2 linked regions of the Caenorhabditis elegans genome follow. The protein of the gene in region 1 purifies or fractionates together with the protein of each later gene. This does not show direct contact. Each region holds a gene or a part of one and is shown on either strand. Other genes may lie near its edges.

Region 1 (6,129 bases):
CTACAGTAACCCTTTAAATGAGTACTGTAACGCTTGTGTCGATTCACGGGCTAGATTTTTGAAATAGATTATTCTTTTCGATTAGTGACATCGATATTCAATTTGCCTCTTTTTAATTTTAATATTATATCGATTCATTTCAAAAATCAAGCGCTACAGTACTCATTTAAAGGGTTACTGTAGTTTTTGCTGTGAGATATCTTGCGCGTCTAATATGTTGTGCAATACGCATTCTCAGAAATTTGTGTTTTCCCGTAATAACAGAAAAAAGATCAAAACTCATGTATGTAAAAAGGTGTCTTTTCCGGTGCAAAATCCTATTTTTAGACATTACCACGAACTCGTAATCAGTCTACGAAAACGATTAGATGGTTCTTATCAGAAAAATTAGAATCGGCTCATTGAGCTCCCATGAGAATCCGTATACATTTGAAATGTCGAACAAAAAATGCTTCGACTTTTTGATCTTCCAAAAAAAAATTTAAAAAAAAAACTTCCGCCGAGCCTCAAATGTTTACAAAAAACATGATGATATAAATAATCGACTTATTTTTGCCTGTTCACGTCACCTGAAAACAATGAAAAATAGTACAATGGTGTCTGTTTGTGATTGATTTCAATTGTTTATCACATGCTCTACATTTCTGAAAACAAGGGGGAAAGTCGGCGTGTGCTCGTCGATTTTTTATGAGCACGGTTTCCTTGACATTCTCCCGAATTTCCAACAAATTCATACAACTGGAGGCGAATTTCTCGCGGTTTTATCTGAAATGGAATGCGGCGACCTAGCTACTGAAAGAAGTCAAAACTTCTTGGAAAAAAAATTTTTTTATTGAGAATTTTGTGGAATTTGAAAAAGTATATGAGATCATTTTACAAGACAGCGAACTGATCATAGAAGAGACGACGAAGTTTGTAGTAGTCTTTGGTGAAAGCACCTTCCATTTGGAAGACTCCAGTATCATTACGACGAATCGAACAATTTCCTGTAAAATAATATTGTGCGGTTGGCAGTGTGCCAAGTTGTGACTACCTCCGTTGATAAGAAGAGTTCCGCTGAGAAATTCTGCCTTGTACCCTTTGTCTGTGAGAAGGTTTTTGAAGTCGGAAAGTTTCGGATCGTTGACAAAGACAGCCTGAAACAAAAAGTTGAATCTATAAAATGGTTTTTTGATTTTTAAAAATTTTTCAAAGATCAGGTTCTCTCTGACGTCAAACTAGAGAAATGCACAGAACAATTAATATTATTGTTATCAAATGGAGCACTTAGTATGATTGCGTGGTGAAAAGTTTGTGCGTAATAAACGGCCGGATTAGTGACATTTTTGAAAATTGATGGAAACAATGTGACTATTTTTAGAGAATATTGATATTTTCTCGCCGGAAACATTAAATGACCATGTGAGGGTTCTTAGATTTTGTTTTTAAAAATACATTGAAAATTGGGAGTTATATCCGAATATCACTATAAAAAATTTGCATGAATAACTTTTTCAATTTTGCAAAAATTAATCAAAATGTTTTTTTAATTCCCGCGCAAATGGAATTTTCGTGTTTTCTGGAAAATTTTCAGATTTTTTTTCAGCTAAAATTTTTTTTATTGTGCAGCAACATACTTTTGCAATATTGCAACAAAAAAAAAACATTTTCAAAAATTCAGAAAAATTGTACAATTTTTCTAACAGTTCGATCTAGATTCGAACGTTACGGCCATGTTTCTACCTTCTTTTTTTCAAAAATTGCGCTGAAAGGTGGTAATAATAGTGGAAATAACATTTTTTCAAATAAAAAAATGGTTAATTTAAAACAAAATCTAAATCATTTTTATAATTTACCTGGTGAATAGGAATTAGCCGTTTCGGTAGAGGATCGAGAATGAGATTTCCACGTATTTTTCCTTTTGTTCCCTTTTTCGTTCGACTATCATTTGTGTGCCCATTTTCAACCTCTTTTCCACTTTCAGATATCGCCAGCGACTCCTGTGAACCGTTTTCACCCTGAAATTCCAAATGTTTTGAAATAGTTTTAAATATTTTCAGCTTACAATTTCCATTGGTTCGGCATTTCCTTCACCCTCCGTGGCTCCGTTTTCTTCTTGATCATTGACGTCTTCCTCTCGATTTTTATCATCGATCATGAGATTAGATGTTCCTACAGCTAGCATATTATCGATGGCTTCTTTTTCCATAACTCTAGCATCGATCCACGCAAGACTATTTCCTTCGGAAACCTCCTTGAACTGAATATCAGCTAAAAGAGCATCACTAAGAGCCACTTGATAAATGAATGATTCAACTGAGGCATCTACAAGTGCTCCGGCTTCCGGAGCTTTCAACATTGTTGTATCAAAGCCGCTATCGGCAAAATAAGCAACAAGATCACGAGTATCGTCTCGTGATCCATGAACTACGATAATCTGCCGAGGAAGTAGTCCAGCAAGAAGTTTCTTTGTCGATTCACCATCAGATATTCCCTCATATTCTATAAATTCAATTCGGCACGAAACTTCGACACGATTCTTAAATTCGACGCATTTCGTCGGCATTTCTTCAACATGATCGTTCGGATTATAAACTTCTTCTTCTTCTTCTCGTTTCTTCACAACTACCGGTTCATCTTTATTTTGTCCTTTCCGTAAATCAATTTTTGAAATCACAGTGTAGTCTTCTGGTTTAATAACTTCTCCATAATCATCCCACTTGACTTTTTCTTCGATATAAGGAAACATTGGAAATGATTTTTTAGTTGTCTTGAAGAATGATGCTCTGAAAATTAAAAAATTAAATTAAAGACAAATCAAACGTATAAAACTTTTATAAAACAAACTTTTGTTGATTATCCCATTTCGCCATAATATCAAAAGTATGCGCATCATTTTCCGAGCCATCAAACGAACGGAAATCTTTTTCCGAATGCCTTGGAACAATTGGAGCAGCAATATCATCATCATCACTGTCATCACTCTCATTTGCCTGTGCCTGTCGTCTAGCTCTTTCCATTCGAAGTCTAGTTTCTTCTGCATCTCTTTCAGCTTTTCTTCGTTTATATTCCAAAAGTTCTTCTCCTTCCAGTGCAACTCTCTTCTTCACAACTAAACTAATCAATCGATCTTCGTGTTTCAGAACACCATCATTTGCTCTTTCAGCCATATTGACAAGCTTTGCAGCAAGAGTGAATGAAGCTGGACGTGCCGTTAAAATCACACCGTTTCTTGGATCAGAACACCAATCGAGGAATAATTCTCTAGAAAATCCTGATTCCATATCCTGACTACTGCACAACACAACTTTCGGAGATCTAACCCTCATCAATTCCTGATGTGAATGACAGAGTGTGACATGTTTCAGTGTGAAAGGATTGTAACGGGCTGAGCTGGAATCATATTTGAAAAGCTTCTCATTCATCCATTCTAATTGAGATTTTGCGAATTGAACAACTGAAGATGCTACATGTGACATCATGACGAGATTATACGTGGATAGACCTGCATCAGCGCTGAAATTTTTATTTTTAATAATTTTTATTTCAAATTAAAAGAATAACTTACTTGGACCATAATTGATCTAAAAGATGCGCCAGCTCGAGAACTCTTCCAGCTGTATCGATTACAATCATACAATCTCCTTTTTGACGTACTGTTCGTAAAATTTTCGTCACCAACTGCTCGTCTCGATCTTTTCGTCGCATTTGCGGAAGTGAAATGTGATGAGCTCCGGTAATTAGTAAATGTGGTCGGTTGAAATCTGGAAATATAAATATGAAATTTATCTGAATATTTAAAAGAATTAACATACTATCAAATGAGCATCCATTAAGATGTCGTTCTTTTTTATGATTGAAATCAACACAATAAACAATATCTTCTCCAGTCACTCGACAAATTCTCCAAATGGATCCTCCTAACATGTGCCCGGCAGGTAATGCTGTGAAATGAACTCCAGAATCTCCTTTTAAAACGACTGTCTGATTATATTTCACTTGCTCGACTTTTTCGAAAGCTGTATCTACATCATCGAGAGTATAATGCTCAAATTCTTCTACATCCAAATGACTGTAAACCATATCGTAGATGAACATTTGACCCATTTTATATACCGGCACCTAGAACGATATTTTAATTAATTAGAAAAATGTAAATTAAACAAACCGTCGCGTAGACAGGAGCTGTTAAACCACATTTTGAAACTAAATATGGTAGTCCGCCAAGATGGAGAGGATCTGGATGAGATATGAGAACTGCACTGATCTAGAAAAATTATATGTTGAGAATTTAGAAAGTTGAATATATATGAGCTTACTTTGGGAATAAAAGGTTTTAATTCTTCAAAATATTGTAACCCGAATCGCTCATCCCAACCACAATCCAATAGTATATAATCACCATCCACTTGTAAAAGGTAACAAAGAGGTCCTTCGTCTTTTGCACCGGAAAACACTTTCAATTTGATAATGGAGGTCATTTGATGTGTCTTTTAGGTTTTCCCGCTGTTCTGAAAATATTCAAATTAAAAAAAAAAATTGCGATAAAATAACAGCTTTTTGAAGCATAAAACAAATAATTTTCGCAGGAGACCGCAAAAAAATATTTTTGAGTTTTCCACTGAGTGTGCAAACACGGATGTGTGTATGCATCACAATTGACGACAATTTATACACAGTACATTTTTGTTCAAGTTCCAAAATACCTGCGAGGATCTCACTAAATTTACGTGACGAAACCGAAAATGTTTTCGGTTTATTTTTTCGAAAAAAAGAACACGACCTTTTTGGAAGTTAATGGATTTCTATCAATATCAGTTTTTCGACCGTTTATGAAAATACACTATATTATACTATTAAAATCTTATGAGTAGGAACACAGAAGAAAAATAGTTTCAAATGTTATATTTAATATATTTATTTCAATTGTTCTTCTATCATAAAGACACATAACATTGAGGAATTATTGCTGTTGATACACATAACACAGTTTCTCAGTCAGCCTTCGGAAGCAGATGATCGCCAAGTGAAGTAGAGCCAGTAGGAAACACAAAATAGCGAAAAAACTGTTGGAAACAACCATCGACTATCTGAAATTGTACTAATTTGAAAATCAAAAGTAGATATACTTAAACCAACATTCGTCAATTTTAAATGCTATTCGTTCGTTTTTCTCCGAGCATCGAGCACATGGTTTGTTGGTGTCAAATTTGGTGAATAATCGAGAAGGAACCGGAGTGACTGACATCAGCGCCTATAAATTATGTACATGTATGATACATGAATACGTGTGACTTTAATAAATTAAACTTACAGATGATTCATTAAGGCATGCGGATATTCCATGAGTCAAAGAAAATTGCTGAGATTTTTTATTCCGATTCAGGTCGGATCCCTCGGTATTATTCGCAATTACTGGCTTGTTGTTATTAACAATCGACTTTCGAGCCTGAAATAGTTTTGGAGTCAGGAAAAAACTTTAAAAAAAAAGTTAAGCTGAACCTAAGCCAAAAAAATTCCAAAGTCTAATTGAAAGCCTAACTGAAGCTTAACCTTAAATCTTTGCAAAATATAGGACCTAAGCCCAAAAGCCTGAGCCTAAATCTAAGTCTAAGCCTAGGCCAACAAGATTATCCTTTAGGAGCTATTCTACTATTACATGTAAGATGAAGCCTAAACAAGCCCGATATCTGACCTTCTCCTCCCTTTTGCATTCCTGTACTCTTTCCTCATAGAACATATTCCGATGTGAACAATCCGTAGTCCTTTTTGTCATATAATACGAAACAAACGAATATTCCAACAATACCAAAAAGATCAACGCTTGCGAGAATGTCAACCATATATCCAATGCTTTGATATAGGAGACCTGCGGCAAATCCTGTCTTGCTCCGTTGCTCATCGTCGTCAAAGTGAGTAATGAGGTGATTGTAAGTGAGATACGTGCTGGACTGGCACGCGGGTCCAACCAGAATGACATCCATGAAATGGAGACGAGCATTCCTGTTTTTTTTTGAAAAGAATCAATTATTTTTATTAGTTGGTCTTCTAGAAAATTGGAAATTGCTTCCAAAATCTCAAAGATTACCTGTGGGAATGTATGTTTGAATTATGTGGAATAGTACAAGTCGTTTCATAACAATATATCCT
Region 2 (4,971 bases), on another chromosome or scaffold:
GTCACAAGAAGAAAATGAAGAATAAGATGAAGAAGACGATGGTTATGATCTGATGATAAGGAAAGTGATTACAGTGGGGGTGTAGGAGTAGGGTAGGCCGAGGGGAAAAAGAAAAGGCGAGAAGAAAAGAAAGAAGAACAAGTAAGTATCATGACAACATTCAAACACTGCCTCATAGTCACACGAGAGTTCGTTTTTCCCTATTAAAAAAACATAATTGTGCTTGTGATTGTTGCAGCAAATGTATCATTCTCCAAAATCACATGATTTTCTCAGTTTTTAGTTAGAATGAATATTCTCCTGGTTCATATAGCTAAAACAGAAATCTCTGCAATTGTTACTGCTAGTTTATACTTTTCATAGTCTTCTCGAAATTTTGTTTCTTTTTGATTGCATTGTATCTGATTGAAAGGTTTTTGAAATTCTTGACATATTTGCAGGTTGAGGTGAATCTTGGTTTTTTCGTTCGGCACGTTTTAAATAGTCATTTTTCAGATATCACAGATAAGCTGAAACTCAAGTGACAAACCTCATTCAGATACAGTAATTCATGTTGACCACACAAATCTGAATATTCACATCTTATTTGTTTCACCAAGATGGTTGTTTGGGGTGTCTGTAAATACTTGAAGTTATGCAACTTTTATCGCATTTTCATGCTTTTTCTAATAGGTTTTAACCTATTTTCAAATGACATTGCCACATTTTAAACTTCGATCCAATCACTTTTCCCTGTCGTCTCCTACACTTTTATCTTCATGTCTTCACAAATTATTGCCAATCAAAACTCGGGTTTTGATGAGTCAAAAGAAACATGTGGGCTAATGGACTGCCACTGTTTGCAGCCACTTGTCTCAAATTGGCTGTAAAGCTTCAGAACCTTCAATTTTCGAATCGTGATGATGTCATCCAAGTTCCATTTTTGGAATGCATTCTAGTTTTTAATGCACCCTTGAAGTGCTAAACTTCAGTCTTTTTCCAGGCTGCGTAATATTATTGAGAAACAAATTTAACCAATATTCCGAGTTCAATTTTTCCGATTTTTCCCGTCTGCACAAACCATTTTGCAAACCTTATCAGTTAGTAATCTACATTTTTCACAAATTTCTCTTACAACTATTCTTCTCGAATTTGTTTCTATGATGTGCCAAAACCTGGAAGTATATTAATATTTCCCATGAATACATAATAGAACATGTCATTTTTATAATCTCTCTCTCTCTGTTACGTCTTGCAAAGTGTGTAGTGTTCCTGCAGAAAAGACATTTATAGATTGATATTGATATCAAGAAATATCATAAAGATAGTATAACATGACAGACGGCTAGATAGACACACATGGACACTGGTCAAGGCCGGTGTGTGCCATTCATCAAGGGTGCATGCTGCCTTTTTTCACCAGTTCATTGTTAAATCCTAGAATTTGAAAGTGCGCTTGTTGCTTAGGTGTTTCAATTTCGCAATTGTGTTTTGATCGATCTATCGTTATTCAGAGTTGCTACACGTTTAGTACGCTACTTTTTATCACTCCCTCGATGATTTAAGCCCTTGCGGGACCATTATCTAATCTACGTGCCTATATGTTTTCTTCAAAGATTGATAGATTTTAGTTAAAATCCTAACTCTTTTTCGGTATTTAATACTTCTAATATATAATTTCATAATTACTTGCTCACCAGCACATTCTAGAAGCTTATTATGAAATCATTATTTTCTTTAATTTTTCAATTATTTCTTCTCAACGCTATTGTTCTCAAAATCTGTTTGCAACCTTTTAAAATAATTTTACCAGTTTTCAGACCGACAACGCACGGGCTCTTCGCTTGATATCCGGACATAGAAATATGCAGATATCATCCAATTTTTAGTTGACACCTATATTTAAAAAGTCTTTGTCAAGCAACAGTATCGATCGCATTCATCAATAACTACAGTAAATATCTATATATCAAAAAAGTCTCCCAAGAAGAAGAAGCAGCGAACTGTTTTCGTTTTGTCAAATCGAGTTCTTGTTTTTGTGGCTGATTTAAATTATACCGGAAAAATTCGATTGGAAAAGAAGGATAATTTGTAAAGAGGAAAATCGGCGGAAATCGTGAAGCGAGGACTACAAAATGCCTGATGTGAGTGTTTTTTTTTAATCTTCAAAATTTATAGTTTTTAATTGAATACAAATTGTATATTTTCATTAATACAAAAAATAGAAAATCAAAATGGGCCCAAAAATTCTACAATCTTCATCAAATTTGTGTTGTCAAACTAATTTTCACTAGGAAACAAAACCATGAATTGTACTTTGAATCTGTGGGCGTTTAAGCGATGAGAAGACTGGTACATTGGTTGATCCTCTTTTAAATCTACTAACAATGAATATTCTCTGTAGTTGAAAGCAGTTATGTCTGCATTTGGGTGGTCAGTCAACCGATTCTTTTTGGGTGCATACATTTGTAGGTTTAGAACTGTGTTTTGATGTTTTTAAATTTTCTAATTAAATAATTTAGCTAAATTATTACTCATAGGAAATTTCATTCGATTCTAATTGTCACTATATTCCTAGTTCCTGTATAAATTGGCATATAATATCGTAAATTATCGGCGATTTTTATCGGTTTTGTCTTCCCGAAAAGAAATAAGGGTAATTCACATTCATCTATGGATTTAGTCGAATCGTTTCTTCATTATAAGGACAAAGTCCATTTGAAATTTAATTTAGTTTTTCCTATTTTTTCTTATATCTTTCTTCTTTCTATTTCCGAATTTTATATCCCTATCAAAGTCAGCAAAATTTTGGCAATTTTCTTTTTATCTCACCGCTAAAATCACTTTGTGAAAATTGATTTTTGTTGATCTTGACTAAAACGAAAATCGAAAACTACAAAATAAGATAACAAAAAATCGTAGAAAGCACGAGTGAGAAATGGGACAAAAGATTACGATTTTTAAACTCGAAATAACTATAAAATCTGCTAAAAATTATTATGTTATTAATTTTGAAAGATGACAGTCATATGTAACAGATGTCGTAATATTTCTTGTAGAATGGTGAGCTGTTTAAATTATATTTCACTCCAATTAAGGACCCTGAAATTTAATTTGCTGAATAATTTATTCTTCAAAATTTAAGAAATTCATAACCTTTTTTCTAAACGAGCGAGATAAATTTGAAAAAATTTCCTATCCCAGTTTACGTATAACCGCTATTTTACTTAAAAATTCATCTGATTTTGCATTTTTAAATAGCCTTTAACAGTATTTGCAATGTTTTTATTACTGTGGGTGGTTGTTTTGTTGTTTTTGTTCCCGCCCTTTCGTCTTTCTCGTCTCATTCGAATTTTGGTGTCTTTTGATCAAAGTGATACTGAATGGAGAAGCACGTGGTAAACAGACGCAGACGACGGTATTAGACACGACGTCTTCTACCTTTTGAAGGCAAACGATGTGTCTATCGTTTGACTTGTTTCAGTCGTGTTGCTTCTACACTTCTCGTAGTAATTTTGAAACAAGAAGTGTCATCACACCTACCATTTTACCGCTAAATTGTAATTTTTTATTGAAATGATTATTGAATTTTCAATCTTAACGTATAAACATTTTTAGACGTTTTTAGTTTTATTGAGTATAGAAGCTTTCAAAATTTCTTTATGGAAATTTATATTTATTTTCCATTCGCCCGAAAACTTTTGTAGATTCGAAAAGTTTATGTATGTAGTAGTTTGAACTCTGTAATTCGAATTTACCAAACATGAAACGTTGGTTTATCTCGAATATCACACAACCCTCTAAGATATCACGTGATTACTGTTCCTTTTTTTTCAATCAAAAAATAGTATAGATGTATTGATTCAAAGTTATCATGTTTAAAAAACTGTATTATGTATTTTCCAACAAAAAAATTGCGTTTCCTGACAGTAACCAATGTTTTTTTGCAGTCTATAACAAACGGTGGACGACCACCAGCACCTCCAAGCTCTGTGAGCTCAACAACAGCATCGACAACTGGTAATTTTGGTTAGTTTTAGTCGAATTAATTATAAAAAAGAAGAAAATCGTCTTATTTGGTGAAGTGAAGTATTCATTCATCGATAAAATTTAAAAACCCTGGAATGTTCAAGTGTTATTGGACACATGAATACGTCAAGAGGATTAAGTTGACGTCGAATTAAAAATTGACGTTTTTTGAAGTGATAGAGAGAAAAGTACGATTTTTTGAAAAATGTTGTAGTTAAAATTGGCAGAAGTGTGATAGAAAAAAGATTATGAATTTAAAAGTTTATTTAATTTTTTAAAAGTTAATTCAATTTTTAAATTTCAGGTACTCGACGTCGTTTAGTGAATCGTATCAAGAAAGTCGATGAACTACATCCAGCACAAGAGAATCCCACGTTAGTTTTTGATCTCTTTTGAAAGTTTCTGATGGTCGTGGAAAATTTGAAACTCTTGTTAAAACTTTATTCTTGATAGTGCAAACGTATGCATAATTTTGTAAAAAAAAAGATTTTGGCCGAATCATTATACAAAACTAACCTGAATATATTTCTATTCTCACCCATTCATAACAATTTTAACTGGTCATGTGAGCATTATCGGTAACTTTTTTCATCTTTTTTAGGACGAAAAGAGACGAATGGACAGTCTAACTGTATCTATCTCTCTCTCAATATCATAGATTTATGATGAGGAGGAAATTTCAGTTTATGATTTGATTTGAAATTCAAATTTTATTTTTTCCCTCTCCCTTCCCCATTGACATTTTCTACTATCCACCTCTGCCAACCACGCATTCCTATTAAAACCGCCAACTGCTTCTAGAAATTTTGACTGAAAAACAGTCTACATTGCCGTTTTTGCAAATTTTAAATGGAATTTCCGATTTCCAATGATTTATTATTAGCTAGCAGACAATTACAGACTAGAAATGAACGAAAAAGGTGAAAAATGATTTTCTGGCTTTCTTTTTAAACTGTAGACTAT

The links.
Region 2: the proteins of cpsf-2 (region 1) and wnk-1 fractionate together in Caenorhabditis elegans (co-fractionation; one large-scale study listed by BioGRID). This does not show direct contact.

Annotation. Positions count from the first base shown.
Region 1 is NC_003283.11:7,177,539-7,183,667, reverse strand, and holds cpsf-2 (putative cleavage and polyadenylation specificity factor subunit 2), read right to left. Parts: upstream 4,497-6,129; 5' UTR 4,461-4,496; coding exon 4,299-4,460; intron 4,247-4,298; coding exon 4,148-4,246; intron 4,102-4,147; coding exon 3,795-4,101; intron 3,744-3,794; coding exon 3,548-3,743; intron 3,496-3,547; coding exon 2,827-3,495; intron 2,766-2,826; coding exon 2,045-2,765; intron 1,998-2,044; coding exon 1,836-1,997; intron 1,137-1,835; coding exon 1,034-1,136; intron 987-1,033; coding exon 874-986; 3' UTR 810-873; downstream 1-809. Other genes in the region: lgc-39 (Ligand-Gated ion Channel), read right to left, coding at 4,978-5,069, 5,119-5,233, 5,294-5,428, 5,675-5,982, 6,068-6,129. UniProt on the Caenorhabditis elegans protein: CPSF plays a key role in pre-mRNA 3'-end formation, recognizing the AAUAAA signal sequence and interacting with poly(A)polymerase and other factors to bring about cleavage and poly(A) addition.
Region 2 is NC_003282.8:9,198,317-9,203,287, forward strand, and holds the start of wnk-1 (Serine/threonine-protein kinase WNK), read left to right. Parts: upstream 1-1,789; 5' UTR 1,790-2,114; coding exon 2,115-2,123; intron 2,124-3,929; coding exon 3,930-4,008; intron 4,009-4,312; coding exon 4,313-4,382; intron 4,383-4,971. UniProt on the Caenorhabditis elegans protein: Serine/threonine-protein kinase component of the WNK3-SPAK/OSR1 kinase cascade, which plays an important role in the regulation of electrolyte homeostasis and regulatory volume increase in response to hyperosmotic stress.